Linked DNA regions of Stegostoma tigrinum. The protein of the gene in region 1 interacts with the protein of each later gene in a biochemical or structural test. Links are inferred from orthologs where the notes say so. Each region holds a gene or a part of one and is shown in the gene's direction. Other genes may lie near its edges. The genes, in order: syk and flt3.

The links.
Region 2: of the proteins of syk (region 1) and flt3, one has a biochemical effect on the other in vitro, tested with the Homo sapiens proteins (2 studies listed by IntAct, with this or other methods). The link is inferred for Stegostoma tigrinum from reciprocal best matches to the Homo sapiens genes SYK and FLT3.

Annotation. Positions count from the first base shown.
Region 1 is NC_081356.1:52,825,349-52,836,163, reverse strand, and holds the start of syk (tyrosine-protein kinase SYK), read left to right. Parts: upstream 1-6,497; 5' UTR 6,498-6,562; intron 6,563-7,300; 5' UTR 7,301-7,685; intron 7,686-10,815. UniProt on the Homo sapiens protein: Non-receptor tyrosine kinase which mediates signal transduction downstream of a variety of transmembrane receptors including classical immunoreceptors like the B-cell receptor (BCR).
Region 2 is NC_081359.1:78,786,844-78,797,226, reverse strand, and holds the start of flt3 (receptor-type tyrosine-protein kinase FLT3), read left to right. Parts: upstream 1-5,932; 5' UTR 5,933-5,994; coding exon 5,995-6,046; intron 6,047-10,383. UniProt on the Homo sapiens protein: Tyrosine-protein kinase that acts as a cell-surface receptor for the cytokine FLT3LG and regulates differentiation, proliferation and survival of hematopoietic progenitor cells and of dendritic cells.

The DNA of each region.
Region 1 (10,815 bases):
CCCCTCAAGGACCAAAGTAGACATGTTTGTATAAAACTGCTAGAGATGACCGAGGTCTTCAATGAACATTTCTCCTCTGTGTTTACCATGGAGAAGGACGTGAAAACTTGGGAACTTGGGGAAGTTAGTGGCGATATCTTGGGGACAGTCCATATTACACCAGAGAACATGTTGGAAGGGTTAGAATGTATGAAGGTGGATAAATCTCCTGGTCCTGACCAGACATACCCAAGAGCCCTGCAAGAGTCTAGAGAAGGGGACACTGGCTGATATATTTGTATCATCATTAGCCATGGGTGAGGTCCTAGAAGACTGGAGGATGGTGAATGCTGTGCCATTATTCAAGAAGGACTGTAAAGAAAAACCTGGGAATTATAGGCCAGTAAACTTAACATCTGCGGTAGTTCAGTTACTTGAGAAAATTCTGAAGGATTAGGTATACATGCATTTAGAAAGACAGGCTTTGATTAGGAGTAGTCAGCATGGGAGTGTCAGTAGGAAATCATCCCTCACAAATTTGTTTGAGTTCTTTGATGAAGTGACCAGGAAGATTGATGAGGGGAGGGCAGCAGATGCCATCTGCACGGATTTCAGTAAGGCCTTTGATAAAGTTCCACATGGTAGGCTGCTTTGGAAGATTAAGTTGCATGGAATCCAGGGAGAGTTGGCAAATTGGATGCACAATTGGCTTGGTGGTAGGAAGCAGAGAGTAATAGTGGAATGATGCTTGTCAGACTGGAGGCCTGTGATGAATGGTGTGCCTCAGAGGTTGGTGCTGAGCCCACTGCTAAATTCTAACTCTATCAATGATTTGGATGGGAATGTACAAGGCATGATTAGTAAGTTTGTGCATGACACTACAATAGACAGTATCCTGGACAGTGAGGATGGTTATCAGAAGTTGCAGCAAGATCTTGATGAGCTGGGGAAATGGGATGAGAAATGGCAAATGGAGTTTAATATAAATAAGTGTAAGATGTTGCATTTTGAAAAGTCAAACCAAGGTAGGAGTTTCATGGTAAATGGTATGTAATGAAACAGAGGGGCCTTGGAGTTCAGGTGCATGGTCCTCTGAAAGGGGATTCACAGCTATACAGGGCAGTCAAAAAGGCTTTAGGCACGCGAGCTTCCATCAGTCAGGGCATTGAATAAAGACATTGGGAAGCAATGTTGCTGTTACACAGGATGTTGGTGAGGCCGTACTTGGAGTATCTTGTTCAATTTTAATCACCTTGCTCTAGGAAAGATGTTATTAAACTGGAAAGAGTGCAGAACAAATCTACAAGGATTTTGCCAGGGCTCAAGGGACCGAGTTCTGGGGAGAGGCTGGGCAAATTAGGAGTTGCTTTTTTCCAGCATAGGAGACTGAGGGGTTTCTTATTGAAGTGTGTAAGATTATGAGAGACGTGAATAGGGTGAATACACTTCGTCTTCCTTCCCAGGTTTGGGGAATCAATGATTAAAGGGCATCAGTTTAAGGAAGAATACACAGGAATCTTAGGAGCAGCATTTTTCCAGAGAAGATGGTACACTTTTGGAACGAACTGCCAGTGGAAGAGCATTTGGACAAATTCATGGACAGGAAATGTTTATAACGATATGGGTGAAGTGAAGGGTTACAGTGGATGGACATTTTGGTCAGCACACACCCACTCGGGATGAAGGGCCTGTCTCTTTGCTGTAGGATTCTGTGACTCTATGAATCAACAAGTGCAAATTTGGCAAGTGAAATCTGAGAAAATGTGAGGCTATGCATTTTGGCAGCTCAATATTATTGCGATAGAAGAACTCTACAAAAAGTAATAGAACAGAGTGTTAACACTAACCCTAATCCTCATGCATGAATCACATAAAGCAGCATCCAAGCAGCATTCAGAAGGTAATAGGGAAAGCAAATGAACTCTCCGCCTTGATTTCAAAGAAAATGGAGCATTCAAATAGAGTAATCTTGATAAATCTCTGCAAAATATGAATTAGACCACTCTAAGAATATTGTAAACAGTTTTAGCCCTTTTATCTAAGGAAAGGCATTGAAGAAAGTCCAGGAAAGGTTCACATAGTGAACTTGTATGTGGAAGGATTTTCTCATGAGGAGATTTGTGTCGGGTAGGCCTATACTCATTGGAGTATAGAGGAATGAGAGGTGACCTTATTGAAACTTACAAGATTCTTAGGGGACATGGCAGGGTAGATAATAAGAGGTTGTTTCCCCTTGTGGGAGACTCTAGGACCAGAAAGCATAATCATAGAGTAAATTGTTGCTCATTTAAAACTAAATGATGAAGGTTGTTTTTCTCTCAGAGAGTTGTGGATCTGTGTAATACTTTAGCGCAGAGGTTTGTAGAGGCTGAAACATTAAGTATAGTCAAAACTGAGTTAAATAGATTGTTAATTGGTTAGGGAATCAGTGTTTATGGTGTTAAGGCAGGAAAGAAGAGTTGAGGATTATCAGAGCAGCCATATTCTCATTGAATGACAGAGCAGGTTCAATTAAAAAAAACTCTTGTGATTTTTACACAACATTTGACCCATTGAATCTGCTTTACCATTCAACGAGATCATGGCTGATCAACTCCACCTCACTACTTTTCCTGAATGTACAAATAGATGAATGGCAAGAAGGTAGCAGATGGAGCATATCTGGGGAAAAGTAACATTATTCATTTTCTTTAGGAAACTGAAAAATTAAAATTGTTTAAATGCTGAGAAATTGCCTGGTGTAAACATTCACATAGACGTGGATGTCCTTGTTTATGAAACACAGAAATGAATCATGCAGCTAAAGTGATTATTTAGGAACTTTGACGACATACTGGACTTTATTGCAAATGGATTAGAGCAAAGAATAAAGATGTCTTGTTGCAATTCTGCAAGGCTTGATGAGACCACACCTGAAGGCTTCTCCTCAGTTTTATTTTTTTGTACCGAAGGAAGGATGTAGTTCTCTTAGAGTAGGTGCAATGATGGTCCACTAGATTGGTTGTTGGTTCAATAAGTTTACTCTCTGAGTGATATTGAGCGCAACAGGCCTACATGCTACATGATTTAGAACAAAGAGAGACAATCACACTGAAACATGAAATTCTGATCAGGCCTGATTAGGTAAATGCTGAAAGATCATTCTCCTGGACTTGAGAACCTAGGCAAGTGGGTATAAACTTAGAATAAGTGGCCAACTACTGATGACTAGAATGAGGATAAATTTATTCATTCCCAAGGCTGTGAAACATTGGAATTCTCTGGCCCAGGGGAATATTCAGTTGTATATATTGCAAACAATAGTTTGTTTTTAATTCTAAGGGAATCTAGGGATATGCAATCACACTGGAAAGCAGATTTGATATTGAACATCATGCCTGATCTTATTGAATTGTACAACAAGATTAAGGGGCTGTTTGGCTCATTATATTTTTATTGCCTTATAAATGCAAACTGTTCATCAAGATTGTGAAACTTCTGACTCTATTCTAGAATTCGTTATAGATATTGCAATATATTTTAAATCCTTCATTCAGGAGCATTTTCATTACATTTTGTTTTAACTTGAAAGGGTTAATTTTAAGACAATTATTGCATTACAATCTGAGAACTCCTGTGAGGAAAATATAATTGGAGTGTGTGTGTCTGTCTGTCTGTTTGTCTGTCTGTCTCTGCCTGCCTGTCTGTATGTATTTTTGGAATTTGAGTTTCAAAAAAGAATGACATGGGTGTTTGCTGCTTCTTTGCTCTTTTTTCCTTTGAAATAAGGTCAGAGTGGCCTAAATCCAATATTTTATGAGAAAGTAGGTGATTGCAGATCCAGTGGTGTCAATAGAAAGATACTTATATTGTTGTGTTTACAACTGCTACAGGAAACATTTAAGGTTATTAGCTTTGTTTTCAGTTTAGAAAATTTCAGGGTTAAGCAGTGTTTTTTTAATATATTCAGTTTAGGAGAATCAGGGTTCAGTTTGGATGCAAGACTTGTTTGTCTTCTAACAGAAGCTCAGGGTCGTTTGAAGAAAACATCACCTCAGAGGAATGTTTTAGTTAGTGCAAGCTTTCAAACCAGATAGGTTGGTCAGGCTTCAGATTTGTAAAAACTTCACGGTGATGGACTTGGAAAAGACTTGCCAAATTATCTCAATAATTCACATGACAGAAAGGGCAAGGAATCATTTGAGTAAATATAGAGTTAAGACATGATGTAATTTCACCAACTTTGAGTGTCTCTGGAATGGATAGTGTAAGGAAACAGAGTGAAACTTTGTCCTGCTGTGTCTTTTATTGTCACTATAAAATGTTTCCATATTTAGATAGCTTTCTTCTTTTATGTGATAAACTTCTGTTCCATTGTTAAAGGAAATATGTTTCAGAGACTAACCATGAAGTTAACTAACTAAACCAAAAAACTAAACATACACCAAATTAGGTTTGATTTCATCCTGGGATCTGGCTTGTTTGACCATCAGCTAGAGTTATAACACAAGACGATGGAGTCTTACTTTACTAGAAAAGGCTCTAGGTGCTAAAGAGCTAGATATGTTGAGGTGTGTGGGGGGCTGTTGTGGTGTAGTGTTAATATTCCAATCTCTGTATCAGGAAGCCTGGCTTTGAGTCCCATCTGCTCCAGAGATGTGCAACTACATCAAAGAACAAGTTGATGAAAAAAACTGTATATTTTCTTCAACAATCCCATCCTTAACTAAAAACTCAGTCGGAAGTCTGTTAAACACAAAATGTCTTGCCCTCATCTACTTAATGCAATGAGCAGCACTATCTCAGGATGAGATTTTCACTCCCATTTAGAAACAATATTTCACCTAAGAGGGCTGCCAATCAGTATAGTTGTCTGGAATCTCAGTACTCCCAATAATGCATCAGGATTTCAAGGCAGGTCCTGGGTGTCAGTGGGGCTTGGCTGGGAGTGATGCTTTGGGGGTTGGGGTGGGTTTCTTCAAGAGGCTTATGTAGAAAAGACATAAAAGCAAGTTATGACTTTTGTCAGGGACAGTTCCATCGGGCACCATTGGCCTTCAAAGAAGTTACTATTTGATATCAGTTTGCCCAGTAAAAGCTGCAAGATTTCCCAGCTAGTGTGGCACTTTCAGCAGCAGTAGTGAAATAAAGCACTTATAGACCTAAAGTCCTACCACTGCATCTCAAGTTTGGTAGGCTGCCTGACACTTTACCCACCCAATATTAAATAGAAGACAGGTTGAAGGTGGATGTCAATGCATATGCTATGAGTTCTTCACCTTGAGGATAGGAAACCAAGGATCTGTTGAATAGAGTAGTGCAGAGGAGGGCAGTCCAATTTCCCTAGGACCAGTGGAAGTAACCACTACCCTAAACCTTGACAATCTACAACGTTGCCACCAGGGTCAATAAGGTCCCAGCCTTCTGAAGGAGTGTTCAGTACCATATGAAGAAGGTCAATGGCCTGCTTCACTCTGCCAACATAAATGCCATTATCTTCTCTTGGTTACTGCACACATTTCCAACCATGGCTCACACTCTACCACTCTTACTATTGCCTATAATATCTTCTCTCACTTGCTAACACACATCACCACTCCTCACACCACTAAACTTGCATGCCTCTGTTTGGGTAGGCAATGGCCTAATGGTATTATTACTGGACTGTTAATCCAGAGATCCAGATAACATTCTGAGGACTCAGATTCGAATCCCAGCACTGCAGAAGGTGGAATTTGAATTCAATAAATATCTGGAATTAAAAATCTAATGATGACTGTGAATCCATTGTCAATTGACAGGGAAAAATTCACCTGGTCCACTAATGTCCTTTAGGGAAGGAGACTGTCATCCTTATCCTACATGTGACTCTTGACCTACAGCAATGTTGTTGACTCTTAACTGCCCTCTAGGCAATTAGGAATGGGCAATAAATGCTGCCTAGACAGTGACATCCTCATCCTGTGAATGAATGAAGAAGAAAGCCTACCCCTCACTCAAGAGACAGTGCCAGCTTTCCCCACTTGCAGCAGTAATAGCTCCGACACCCCCTTTCATCTCACTTAATATGAGTGGCCATGTCCATATGACAGGATCTTGAGCCTAACCTGTCCCAGCAGTCCCACATGTTCCAGAGATGTTCACTAATATTTCCAACAGATTGATTAGAAAATAGTTCCAAATTGATTAGGTTATGATAGTAGTAGAGAGGATTGAGTGTTACTGGGAACTGGAGTCTGCAGATTTTGCAAATTTTGAGGATTGCATTTGACAGCACTCGATGAAAGTCTTTGGCTTGGTAGGGTCTAAAAGAATAGAGTTTGGCATGTTTTTAATTTAAATTCCCATTCTTCAGTTATCAATGCACAGGTCTGCCAATCCGTACAACGTGGCAACATTAGACTGCGATTGGTAATGGGAAAGCAAACTGCTCGCGCTTCTTTCTTAATCAGAACATCATTGCGTAGGTACAGGTCCGGGACGGAGCGAATTCTGTCGTCAGGAGTTTAATCCCGCCCCAAATTCGAACGCATGCGCAAAATAGTTCGGTTTTCATGGCTGCAATGATTCCTGTACTTGGGTAATCAACCCGGAAAGGCAAGCGGTAGTGGTTATTGACTCCATTGCACATAACTGAACATTTTGTCATTTTCTAATGTTGAGGAGGTTATTTAAATTGATATGTTCAAGAGCTATGTGCAACGCATTCACAGTGCGCACTCGATACACGACTTGGTGTAGTTTTGAGATATTTTACAGATTGGGCCTCAGGTTAACATTTGATCTGAAAGACACCAACTCTCGTAATGCAATACAGGTTCTAACTGCCGGCACATACAGTTTGCTCGAATTCCAAACTGGGATTTAACCTGGATGTCACCAACTTAATCATAGTTGTTATTATTTTAATGGTTCAGATCAATTTAAAATATTATCTATCGACAAAATTTGACAGAGACAATACAAATGTGACTCTATGAGTATCACTTAGATCCTGAAAAGCCGTCTTAACGCTGTTGCAAAAATCGTATTTTGCTAATGGATGCTATCATTCTCGCAGTGAGCAATTAAAAATTGTTTGCTAATTTAAAGAATCAAAAACACTTGAAGCCCGAAAACATAAATCTCTTACAACATAACACTGTTTCTTTGGGATACATCTTCACAGGCTGTCGTGAACATGCCCTGTTAATGAAATGTATTTGCGAAAATAGTGTTTTTTTAATTCAGTAACTATTTGGATTAAATTCCAATTATGTGTTTTGAAAGAAACGAAACTAACCTATCGGAGTAATTGTAAACGTTGTAATTGTAAATTTTATGCCACAATTTGTCTTATCAGTTGCTGATTCCATGAAAGGAGGAAGTTTTTTGGAATGAAGTGACTCGAGGAAGTAAGAATGGGGATTGGACTCGAGATGGAAAGAGGAAGTAACTGCCTACAGCTCATTCTCTCAACCAGCATCGAGTGTCCAAAGCAATTAAAATTTTCAACATGCGTTTGCGGATCTGAAATAGTGTGGGCTATTTTTCTTTTAAAACACACTGTCTGGGGTATTGCTGATCGTGCGGTGCTGTTTCTCCAGTGCCCTTTTTATGTTAAGATACGCATAGTTGTTCTGTATTTTAATTCGCATCAAAAACGGACCCGTCATTAATTAACTTTTAAAATAATCAGTTCAGCCTGTGACAGTGACAAGTGAATTCAAGGAAACAAGGCCGCACAGGTAAGGACTTTTTGGAATACTGGGAAATGTGAATTTTAATATGTGGACTTCCTTGAAGTATGTTTTCGCCGCACCGTATATTAGTAATTTAACTTAGGAAGCAAATTATTTTTCGACAATAAAAACGTGTTTCCCTCTATTCAACAAGGGTTCATATTCTTTCCTTTCTCGTTTTTAACATTGGATTTCGTTTCGTGAGCACTTCAGCATGCATTCGTCCAGAATTGTGCACATAGTGTTTTGGCAAGTACCATTTTGCTCCAGGCACTTCTGCAACGGTAGGAAATAGGGAAGTTGGCTTTTTACAAATGCTTATCTCGGATATTGTTTGCATGGTTCAAATTAACTTGCATTTTTTGATCACAAATAAATTCTGAAGTTATTTGTGAACCAGTGGACGGATAATTTCATTTACTGGCCGAGCGGTTTTTGATCCCGTGATCAGGAAACGTTGCCAATTCAACGAGGACAAAAACTTGACTACATATATAAAGTTTAAGAAGATTGAGCGCAGTCTGGAAGTGACACTAGATGAGTCAGTTTGGAGTCAGTACAATCTTATCATTGTGTCACGCTTGTTAAATACGTATATTTTTATCTTCTCACAACCTCTTTAGCATTACAATACATTTACAATCTTGCTGTTGTCTTCATTTTATTTTATGAAGTGTTGAAAATTTAAAACTAGATAAACTGAAAAAAAATCAGCCAGTCTTTGTGCAGTTGTATATATTTCTATATGTTACGGATCCTCAGTCAAACACGAGCTGAACGCTCCACAGTCGAACTGTGACTTTTTAGGCTCCCCCGATCTGTTTTCCTCCGGCCGCTGCTTCAAATTGATTTTTTACGCAACCGTTAATCTCATTTCATGGGCGTCTTTATGAATAGGAATATAAATCTGCGGGAACCTAGGGCGAGGGAATTTTAGGCGCATCGGTATCGCTAGTTGCTCTTCTTCCATTTCAACTTGTTTTAATGAGTGAACTTCTTGTCGCGTCTTCATATTTAGTTGAGGGCGGAAAAATTCAGTATATAGAATATGCGAAACACAAACAAAACGAAATGTTGCGGATGCTGGAAATGTTCAGCAGATCTAAGCAGCATGTTTAAACAGTTACTTTTGAGACATACGACCTTTCATCGGAGCTTGTTGCTTCAGATGCAAAAATACAATCATTTAAACGGAACTATTTTAAAAGACTGCTTATTCTGATAGCGCAGACGTACCTAGTGTTAAAGCAATTACACTTTATTTCTTTGTATAATATTGAAATTTTCTTTTGTCTCACTGTGGGTTTTGCAAATATTTTGCAACCAGAAACGAACCAAAATGGGAACGAAATTGATGCTTGCAGCTAGGTTGCCGCGGCGTCGACGTTAACTGCCATCTTCTGTTATGTGTAGTTCAACCAGTTTTCAGGCTGTTCACCCTTACTGCCACAATCGTCATGTTCTCTCAGCACCATGAACACAGCATTAATCCGAAAACACTACCTGCAAAAGCCCTTCTTGGCTACTTTATATGATGCTGCCGAAGTCTTTACTTGACCCACCGATGTCCTAGTTCCTAATCATGTCCTTTCTCGTTACTCCACACATCAATCTTGCTCTTTGCATCTCATGAGTATCCAGTTGTTAGTGTCTTATTGACATTGCCCCTATTTCTGTGCTTTATAACAGAGCTGGTCATACAACTGTCTTGCAGATTCTTTCTTTCAGTTTCAGTGACAGTTGTGTATCAATTAACAATATCATTAGAATCCCCACAGTGCGGAAACAGGCCCTTCGGGCCAACAAATCCACATCAACCGTCAGGGAATCCCACCCAGACCCATCCCCCTGATCTACACATCCCTGAACACTACAAGCGATTTAGCATGGCCAATCCATCTAGCTTGCCCATCTTTGGACTGTGGGAAGAAACCAGAGCACCTGGAGGAAACCCACGCAGACATGGGGAGAATGTGTAAACTCCACGCAGTCACCCGAGGTTGGAATCGAACCTGGATCCCTGGTGCTGTGAAGCAGCAGTGCTAACCACTGAGCCATCATGCCACCCCAAATGCTGCATTTCATCCATTACTCCAACCAGAAATAATTTGTCGTTTAATTTCAATTTTCGTTCTTCTGTCCTCTGCCATCATTGATCCGAGATACTTTCAACTCTCCGTTTTCTCCAGATCTTTCCCATTATCTTTACAGCTTCACTCTGATTTAATTTCCTGGGCTGAAGCTGACAGCCTATGTTCTGTTATCTTCATTCTCATTTCTTCCAGCATTTCTCTTCAATTCTTCAGAACTCAGTCACGTTCTCATTATCCTCTCCACATAGCTGAATGCCCTTTGCAAATATCATTGACTTGATATTTCCTGCCTCATGTTCTCAGTTGCAATATTCATGATAATCAGGAAGGAGTGCTGAGTGCTGATGCAATCTAACATTCCTGTCAAAACTCCCACCTTACCTCACACAGACTCTTATTCTTATTCTTGCCTAGCTTTTGTTGCATATATCCTGAAAGACTTTTAAAGGTCTTGACAAGTTCTAGCACATCTCCAAATGTCCTCCCTAGGCACCAGTCTTAAGTGTCCTCCAGATTCAGTATGCAGTTTTACTTTACATTGGCTTTCCCAATATTTCACGAACAGTTCAAAGATATGTAAGGCAAACATGTTGCTGACAATTATCCCTCAACCAATACAGATAAATTATTAAGTATTAAGTGTTGTTTGTTGGGCTGTGTACTGTGCATATTGGTCACTACAAAAGTGACTACACTTTAAAAGGATTTCAGTGACCATTAAGCACATTGGAGTAATCTGGCATAGAATACCATGTAATTGCAAGTTATTTCCCTCATTCAGTTGTGTCAGACACAGCACCTTTGAGTGCTTTCATGGGATATGAATAATACTGGCAAGGCCAGAATTTGTTGGTTATCTTTCATTGCCCTTGACATGGTTTTGGTGAGCTCCTTCTTAAACTTCAGCAGTTTGGATAATGCATGCACATACAATGCTGTTGAACATAGAACATAGAACAGTACAGCACAGAACAGGCCCTTCAGCCCACAATGTTGTGCATCCCATTGATCCTCATGTATGCACCCTCAAATTTCTGTGACCA
Region 2 (10,383 bases), on another chromosome or scaffold:
GGGGTATAGGGTGATGGGTCTGGGTGGGATGCTCCGAGTGTGGTGTGGACTTGTTGGGCCGAAGGCCCTGTTTCCACATCGAGGGATTCTTTAAAGGAAAAAGGTGTGTTTTGACAAGCTGGGAGAAGTGTGCCTGGGGACTAAGGCTGTTGCTTAGTTGGACCTTGTTTGATTCTTGTTTTTGGAGGCTGCATAGAAATGCAAACAGACTTGGTAGTGTGGTGTGGTGTAAACCCTTAGCCAAGATTTGATTAATATATGCTGCTGATAGATCTTTCAAGTAGGTATTCTTACTACATGGCTGCGCATATCAATTGACCCTGAGCACAAGCCCAGTCCCATTGCACACCTGCCAACTCAGCAGCCTTCTCCCTAAAAGTGAGAACCCTTATGTCAGAAATTCACCCTTGCTTAGCCTACCTGCACTAATTGTACACCTTTATTTCCTGCAGGAGAGAAGCATTGAAAGACATTAGCATAGGTACATGAGCGTCTTGCCTGTGTTGACAGATAGATACATTCTCGAACCCTCAGACTTGTCTTCACCAAAGTGATATATCTGTAAGAAGACAGTGTATGGAGAAAGTTAGCAGTTCAAGGGCCCTGAATGAAAGTTGGTTCAATGTGGTCAAGGAGCTAGAGTTGAAGGAAATCAATGAAACTGTAAACTGTGTGTGTCCCCTTTAACCCTGTGAGGTGTTCTTCCTGAAGCCATCTTTTCCGGTTGTATCCTTGTCCCACGCAAGCCTATAGTGAGAAGCTATCAGATGCGCAAGTTCACCTCATTGCGACAAGATCAATGAGCTGATAGTGCATAAGTTGCTGCGTATAGCTCCATTTATGTTTGAAGTGTAAACCAGGTTAGATTCAGAAGTAGCACTGTTGCACTAGAAGTTCAATCCTGGTAGGTGCAATGAAGTGGCACACATTGATTGCACATGCGGTGACGGAGATGGTGGCAGTCAATCTTGGAAGTGATAATCCTCTGAAGTAGCAAGTTGACAATGAAAACTCATTCATTGGGGCATGAATCATTGAGTACACATTGGGACTTAGCTTGGTGTGTGCAGCAAATCATTCATCCTCCTGGACATTGATGGTTCACACAGGTAGTAACCTCCACAGTCAGGTCAGCTCAGGCTGCTTTAGTGACTTGGGTTGGCCTTTTGTTGCCACTGTACAAAATAAAACAACCTTTCTCTCACAGACACCCTGCAGAAGCAGCCTTAGAGAGGTATCACTGAAGTATGGGACATTCTTCAGGCAAATCTCAGGTATTTTCAGGGATGAGTAGGGGTGATGAGCTAATTTGTGGAGAGTGATGCTGTCTGGTTGCCTTTTAACCAGAGTGCCTGGAAGGTCCCAACAGGAGCCAGAACTTCCGGTCACAAAAATTTGGCTCCTTACCTACTGAATATGTAAAGAACTTAAAAGAACGTAACTGCATGAGAAAATCTGCCTCACCACTAAGCAGAAGTACCTCCAGTTTTTTATAAGACATAACATTTTGCCTATTGTGTCTTAGTCAGACTCACATTTGTGAGTTGTTTAACCTAATGTTGGACTCGGCAGCTTGTGAGACCCTGGAATCCAATGTGTGGCTTCTGTAATAGGCTGGGGCTATTTTCTCTGGAGCATCGGAGACTGAGGGATGACCTTATGGAGGTTTATAAACTCATGACAGTCATGGATGGGGTGAATAACCAAGGTCTTATTCCCAGGGTACAGGAGTCCAAAACTAGAAAGGTTAGGTTTAAAGTGAGAGGGGAATGATATAAAAGGAACCTAACGGGCAGCTTTTTCATGCAGAGGGTGGTGCATGTATGGAATGAGCTGTCAGAGGAAATGGTGGAGGTTGGTACAATTACAACATTTAAAAGTCATCTAGATGTGTACATGAATTGGAAAGATTTTGAGGAATATGGGTCAAATGGTCTGTATCCTTGCTGTACAACTTTATGACTCTGGTTCATAAAAGGAATACATCTTTCAAACATTTACTGAAAACATTTTCAAAGAATCGTTCTCCAATGTACTCCCAGTTCAGAAATACATTTAAAAAATCAGTTATCCAAACATTCTTGTTTGCCGAATGTTTTGCCAGGGAAAATGAGACTGTGCACTATTGGATATTTTCCAATCAACCTGTTCAAACAAGTATGACATAGTTCAGGTATGACTAGAACCCAGACCTGCTGGCTGAGAGGTAGGGTCATTACCCCTGCACTGCAAAAGGCTTTTTTACATTGTTGACCACCATTGAATCGTATGGGTCACCTACAAACAGACTCAATAATCAGTAACACATCACACTCACTCTAACCCTGGTTGATCTGTTTAAAAAGCACACCTACAATGGCACATTCTGATTGGCCATTAAAACTGGAATTAAACTGTCATTGGTCGAATGTGCAACATGTAGAAGCTGATTAGTCAATTGCAACAGAAATGCTTTTGATAGTCCTGATGCTATGCTGGTGAACACGTGCAGGGACGCACATTAATCAATAAAAGAGCAGTCTTACTCTGGCCCTGATGCTGGGTCTGTGTTGGTAAGCACGTGCCTTGTGTGCAAGCAGGCACATAATCACTGAAAGGGGACAAACTTAACCGCATCCTTGTTTTGAGTCTGCTTTGGAAATGGCTTCAAAAGGAGAGAAGAATTGAAGAGGAAAATTCAGATTTTCAAGATGAATGGACTGATTCATTCGCATTCATTCCAAATTTGGCTAGCCTCCCTGTGTATCTCATTTGCAATAAGAAATTAGCCAACACCAAGAAATCAAATCTTAAGAGGCATTTCACTCAAAAGCATAGTACCTTTGCTGGAAGACATCCAGATGGAAAAGCCTAAAAGAAAGTACTGCAATAGTTCAAGAACAAAGCAGAGACATCTCAGAACAAGTTTGCTAAGTGGATGAAATCATCAGGTGGCTAAATGGCAACTCAAGAGATTATAAAAACAAAAGCAAACAGAAATTGTGAATGTATGAGATAGTGTTTTATCAAAGTTCCACAGCAGCTGTACAATTACTTTAAAAACAAAAGTTAAATTATTAAAGAATTGAATGTTGAACCTTTATGTGCAGAGACTGAGGAACAGAACAGCAAAGATAGCCACAGATATCATCTACACAGCAGACTGAAGTTGTATATTCCACTCCAGTTTAACTGTGTTCTCAAGTATGACTTTCATAAAAAGCAAGTTGAAAAGCTAATTGAATAAAATTTTACACTACTGCTTGGAAATGTAAATACCAGCATACTGTCCAGATATTAAATGTCTCCCCAAGGAAATCCAACAGCTGAAATTGTTTTAAGAGGTTTACATTTTCATATAAGGAAATAATTTATGTGAATTAAATTGCTTGTTTTGGTATTTTAATATTTTAGGTTCATTACATTTGTGAAAAAGCAATATCAAATTAACAATTTAAAGTCAAAAGCTTAGGAATATTCTCGCTAATAAAATGTTCTCTTTCCTCAATATTAATACATATAATACATAAGTATCAGTGAAGCAGGATAGTGTAAGGAAGGAGAGGTTGAAGCCCTCTGATAACTAAAATTGAAACACAAGCCCTCCATCTCTTATAGCAAAAGACGAGGTCTCCTTGTAATAATTAAATCCGAAACACCCAGAGAAGCTTACCTCGTCTAATCTGTTAAATTGTTACGGTGAAGGGGAGGTTAAATGGAAGAAAATCCCTGATATCCACTTTATAAGTAACAAATAACAATTTATTTAACCCTAACAGTGCACAAATTAGCATAATTTGAAAAAAAAACAAAAACAAAAAATTCCTCCTTAACTACCAACAAAATTCTACTGGTATGCTACTCCAATAAACACAAGTCCCACTGGTATACGTCCAAGTAATAAGAAAATAAATTAAAGCTTAGTCTCTCAAAGTCCACATGCCTTTCTGTTGCTATTTTGAACTCATAAATGCATTTCTTCCACTGATCCGGCTGTCAGGGATGCTTTCTCTATGAAGTCTTCTGTGAGAACTCTTAGTTAGAAATGCCATAGTACCTTTTATGGGTAGATGGTGTTTTCCGAGACAGTTTAGTAATTTCTTGTGAGAATCAGATATTTATTTATCAGATGGCGAGGTCGCTCTCACACCAATTTTCAAAAACCCTCTCCTTACAAACCTTTGATGACATATCAATTTTCTTACAATAGCATTGATTCAAGGTTGCTAAAACCATCAGATTTAAATTCAATTGGTTTTCAATTGCCAAAGTGCTTGGCTTAAATTAATTGACTGATTCCAGTTAGTTGCCAAAACATCAAAACAACCTTAAGGTTTGCAATCACACAGTTAATTGATAAGTTTCAATTTCCGAACTGTCTGTACCTATTCAGCAGCCTACAGATACATTTACATTTCAATCTCCGAGCTTAAAAACGCACATCACCTCTTAAAGGGACTACGCACTCTTCCCCACCTTATCATTTTTTTACAAACATATTCTCGCTGCCTGCCTTCCAATTCACAATTACTCTACGCAACTTTGTAACAATAGAAATCAAAAAATGTCTCTAAATTTTGGTGTTATTGATGAACAGCAACGAGCTTTTAATATACTGTTTTGATTACTTTTTAATCATGGTGCTTCTTGTCATTGATTTGCACAGCCCTGTTCTCACCTGTTGCATGGTGACATTCATGTGACATGAATGATACTTTCAAACTACGTACCTTTCCTATACTTGCCCCTTTAGAGAAATGCAATGTTGATGGATTTGATTTGAACTACTATTTTTGCTTTGTTTACCAGCTGACAATTCTTCAGTCTATACAGCAATCCATTTGTGAGCACCAAAGTACTCCTTCAATACTTGCAATTGTTCCATTGGACACTCAGCTGTTTACTGGCATTGAACAATTGAATCATTAATTTCAATAAATTATTTTAATCATTTGTATAAGAAATGTATTTTCAAATGTTGGCCAGAGACTCAAGCCCTGTATAAATTCCCCATTCACTGTGACGTTTGAAATAGCCCGGATTCCCTCAGCAACTTCACAGTGTTGGTCAAAATCCTATTCAAACAATTTCCCTTCCACCTATGTGGTATTCTGAAACTAATTTCATTGCTGAAAATCCCCTCATAACGTGTTTTTTTAAACTAAGTAATGAGATAACTTTCAGTATGTTCATTTTACATTCTGATGGTATGGTCTTATTACTGTAACTGGTAATCTGTAGGACCTGTGTACAAACGCACATAGAAGTAAAATGAAAAAAATACTATGTGTAAATATTATTAAATATGATTTTAAAAATCCCGAAGGTTGCCGATGTTCTTTAACATCCATTCTTAACCTGATCTGGCCTATATATCATTATAATCTCATACGGTGATTCATAACTGCCCACATTCTCACCAAACAATGTACTCAATTGCATCAAATCATTGCTGTCCAGTCAAAACAAAGACCCATCATAATTTCCGCCGAGGCATAAGCTTTGTAAATAATTATTAATGACGTCTTCACTGCAAGAATTATAAATTTTTTAAAACTTTTTTTCAGATTGTAGGTTCATTGTAGAATTTCAAATTAATATCAAACTCGATCAACTTAATTTTTGAATGTTCCGTGTAAAGCAGAATGTTTGAAGAAATTCCGTTTGATGGCAAATAACATCAGAAAGATAATGGCAGAAAATACGCTTGTTATGAAATTTTAAAAAAACTTCTGTTAAATAAGCTAAAATTGAATTTAGAAATTTTGTCAGGAGTCAAAGAGCAAAATAAAAATAACATTGTTATTTATATTTTCTCATTGGAAATTAATAAGAGCATTATTGAAAACAGGGTGGGCTAAGTCCTTTGCACTGGTTCCTGTTGAGTGACGTATGAACAGGTTAAATAAAACCCACAGTCACTTTCAGCTTTAATGCTTGGCACCGTGCACTTGTGGAGTATCTCAGTATATATTTTCATATCCTGTTTTTGATTTAAAAAAGTGTAGAACCACAATGTTGGAATTCATGTTTGAAACAGCAAGCAAGCTCTTTTTCGTGGTTCTGAGTACGTATATGTATCTGACACCAGGGCTTTTAAACTTCTTTGAAAGACCAAATGTGCCGTGAGTAGTAGCATGGAGAGATTTGAATTGCAGATGTGATATTGTTTATTGTGGAAAGATGTAATATCTTAATTGTTGACTAAACGTTTTTCAGTGTATGCTGCAAACTAGTTTAAATGCTATTATAATGGTTCAAACTGCGAGAAGAGATACGGACAACACAAACATTTAACAACGCGAACAGGTAGATTTTTGTTTCCTTTGTTGATGCGTGGATCTGGGTCACTCACGTGTATGTAGCGGCAGTTCATATCAATGGAATCATTTCGGTCCAACATTATTGAAAGCGGACCGTTGCATCTAGACCGCCAGTTGTAATTACTTTTTAAGCCATTTTCTTAAACATTGTATCTCTTTTATTTAAGCATAGAAAGGTCAGTTTTCTATTGCGGTGACACGGTATCACAACTATACAATAAGATATGATAAAGTTTTTTTTAAAGAAAGAGCAGGGCTTCGATTTGGAAACAATCTCTAACAAATGTTTTGTTCTGTCCTCCTCACATAAGACGCATAGAATAAATTTCCTACCCTTGGGTTCCCAGTTTATAATTCGTGCAGCGTTTATGAAACTAAAAAGACAGCAGTCATAGCCATTACGGAACACGCCAAGATTGGAATTGCTTTCTAGGTGAAAGATGAAGTAAATATGTAAGTTCTATTTTGTGTAACAGCAGATAAGAAACTACTGAGGAGGACGTGCCTTTGGATTTGATGTTTAACATTGATGGGGCGAAAAAGTAACAACGATTCGCAATACCTACCTTGCTGTGTTATAAATGCAACTGGGAATTCCCATTTGCATGGTAATTTTACTTGCGTGTTTAAGAGTATGTCAGAAATGTCACTGGCCAAAAGTGTGGAAACCTCTCCTAACGGGGACACGTGCAGTTTGCATGCAACCTTACAAATATCAACACTTTTAGGTTCATGTTTTCACTTCTGTATAAACATATATACTGCATTGAGTTTAAAGAACATCTATTTCCGGAACAAGATTGCCAATATTGTTGGTTTGGATCCCAAATCTGCACTTGATCTGACAGATGATACAGAGTAGCTTTCTAACATCTAGAACACCGTTTCAGTCAATGAATAGACAAAGGTTTGGCAAGACTGTTTCTCCCATCAAAAGGAAAGCTAGGCCCGAAAACTTATTAACTGCACAGAATGATTTACCTTGTGAGGAAAACCAATATTAGATTCGTAGAATCTCTTGCAGTGTGGAAGCAGGCTGTTCGACCCGTCCATTCCACACCGACACTCTAAGGAGCATCCGCCCACGGCTAATCCACCTAGCCTGTTCAGAAACATAAAATAAAAAAGACCCTGCAGACTCTTGAACACGATGGACAATTTAGCATGGCTAACCTGCACATGTGGACTGTGGAAGGAAAGCCAAGCAGACACGGGGAAACGTGCAGGCTCCACACAGACACTCGTCCGAGGCAGGAATCGAACCCCAGCCCTGCCACTGAGAGACAGCAGTAGTGCTAGTCACTGAACCACGGTACCTCCTAATAGTTCTAGTAAAATTAATAGTGGACACAAAAGACGAAAGGAAATGCAGATTTTATCTGATAATAGTAACCTAACCATAGCATTTAAACAGAAGGAAACTGCAGCGTGAAATCTAGATGCGGGAGTAGCAAATGTGGAGCCAGTGCGAGTTTTCGAATTACTAAATCAAAAATCTGAGACTTCTACTCACCTTTTTTTTCGTCTGTAGTTGAAACACGTGTGGCAAAAGCGGAAAGAGGACATAAACAAGCTCGAAAGTACCAGTGACACATTTTTTCCTCTCGTTCTTAAAATGTCCCTTGCCCGGGCAGTGATCCGGAAAACAGTGAAACAAAATGTGCGCCCCCTCCTCCGCTGCTCACACGCCAAACATTTCCCCTTTGCTACTAACAATACTTTTACTCCTTCATTCTGAGGGGAAACTAAACCTCAAATTGCGACTTGACACTTTTCCGCAGGCACAAACATCTGCCATCCTCTAACCGCGCGAATTATATCCTACGCATGATGCTGCCAAAGAAAACCAAGCAAAAACGTACATTTAGTCCAGAGACCCGCAACATTTAAATTGATGTACATTCGAAGCGATGAAAAGGTGAGGAAAAAAAAACACATTTTCACGCAGCGTGTGTGGAATGCATTGCTTGGAGATGAGATGGAAGCAGGTTCGATTGAGGCATTCAAGAAGCATTGGATGATTATTTGGATAGAAGTAGTGTGGAGGGGTATGGGGAAAAAGACTAAATAATAGGTGCAGACATGATGGGCCAAAAGGCCTCCTTCAACACCTTAATAATTCTGTCATTCTTTGACTTAAAATTCTCTTCTTGCATATAATAATCATAGCAATGCAACATTAATAGCCATCATCTTCCAAATCATAAACCTGAGTACGCAAAATAAAATTACACCTAGTTTCTTGTTGCTTCCTGGACTCTGTCTCTACCTATTTGCTCACTTGTTTCTCCTATTCATCCCTGCCACTGTCAGCAGCATATATTCTACCTTTTCTCAGCTACTATCGCTTTTAGAGTAGGGACATTGGACATTAACTCTGCTTTCGCTTAACAGATGCTGCCAGAGTTGCTGAGTTTCTCTAACAATTTCAGTTTTTATTGAACCTGAGTATGTAGTCTCGGTAATAGTTTTTACAAGCTATATACTTTATTCCTCAAAGTATTTATATTTTTCTGATGCAATGCAATTACGGTTGCTGCCAATATTTACAATACATCCTGTGGCAAAGATGCCAGACCCATCCTATAGAGATTTTACACATTTTCTAGCCTTCGATGCGCTATGACAAATCAACATTCAACAGGAGCCGTTCACCATTCCATGTTCTAAACCTGGAATGTACCAGTCTGCAATACTCAGTCCTTATTAACATTTTTCACCAAGACTAACGGTCCTCCAGCAGCAGCGCTGCTTATCTCAGTGTTCATCTCTGGAAGTAGCCAGTAGAACAAGACTTCTGCATTATGGAATTGCTCAGTATGAACTCCAACAAAAGATACTTCACAGACATTCTTTGCAAATTGCAGAAGGAGGTGGACAATGTCTCCCCCACTAAACTGGCTTGAAATACTGGGCTAATACTCATTGTTATAACCTGATTCTGATGCCACCTATCATCATGCATAAACTTCTCTGCTTTTTGTACTCAGATCATTAACATCCATGTCCAGGAGACAATCTCAAATGCAAATGGAATGTTAGACTTAAATACAAAGAGATTGAAATATTAGAGTAAGGAGTTCTCATTGCCTTATTTTGGGTCTCAGTGAGACCACACCTGCAATACTGACTAGTTTTTGTCTCTTTCCTTAAGGAGTATATGAATCTTTCCCACCCCAATCAGTTTGTTGCATATGACTTCTTACATAGTTGGAAAGATGCTGATAGCAACCTAAGGACTCTCTCTTATTGCATTCATTCCTGGGTTGACAGGATTGTCCTCTGACAAATTGAGTAGGCTAGGCCTATATTCCCTAGAGTTTGGAAGAGTGAGAAGAGCTTTCATTGAAATGTAAAGTTCTTAAGGAACTTGACACTGTACATCTGAAAGTATATTTCCCAAGGCTGGGAATCTATATCTAGGGAATACAATTTCAGAGTATGATTTTGACATTATAACCAGTAAAGGAGAAATTGCCTCACTCAAAGAGTTGTGAATCATTGGGATTTCCTCTCAAAATGGCTATGAATATATATATTGAATCTGAAGGACAGGATTTACATGTATGTGGAAAGTCAAGGACTGATTAGGGATAGTCAACATGGCTTTGTGCGTGGGAAATTGTTTCTTACTAACTTGTTTGATTCTTTGAGGAAGTGATGAAGAGGATTGATGAAGGCAGAGAGATGGACATGGCCTGTATGGAATTCTCTAAGGCAATTGGCAAGGTTCTGCATGGCAGACTGGTTAACAAGGTTACATCACATGGAACACAGGGAGAACCAGCCATTTGGATGCATAACTGGCTCGAAAATAGAAGATAGAAGGTGGTTGCAGAGGGTTGCTTTTCAAACTGGAGGCCGGTGTCCAGTGGTCTGTCACAAAAATTGGTGCTGGGCCCACTGCTTTTTGTCATTTATATCGATGATTTGGATGTAAATATAGGAGGTATAGTTAGTAAGTTTGCTGATGACACCAAAATTGGTTGTGCAGTGGACGGAGAAGTAGGTTATCTCAGTGCACAACAGGACCTTGATTAGATGGGCTGATGGGCTGAGGAGTGGCAGATGGAGTTTAATT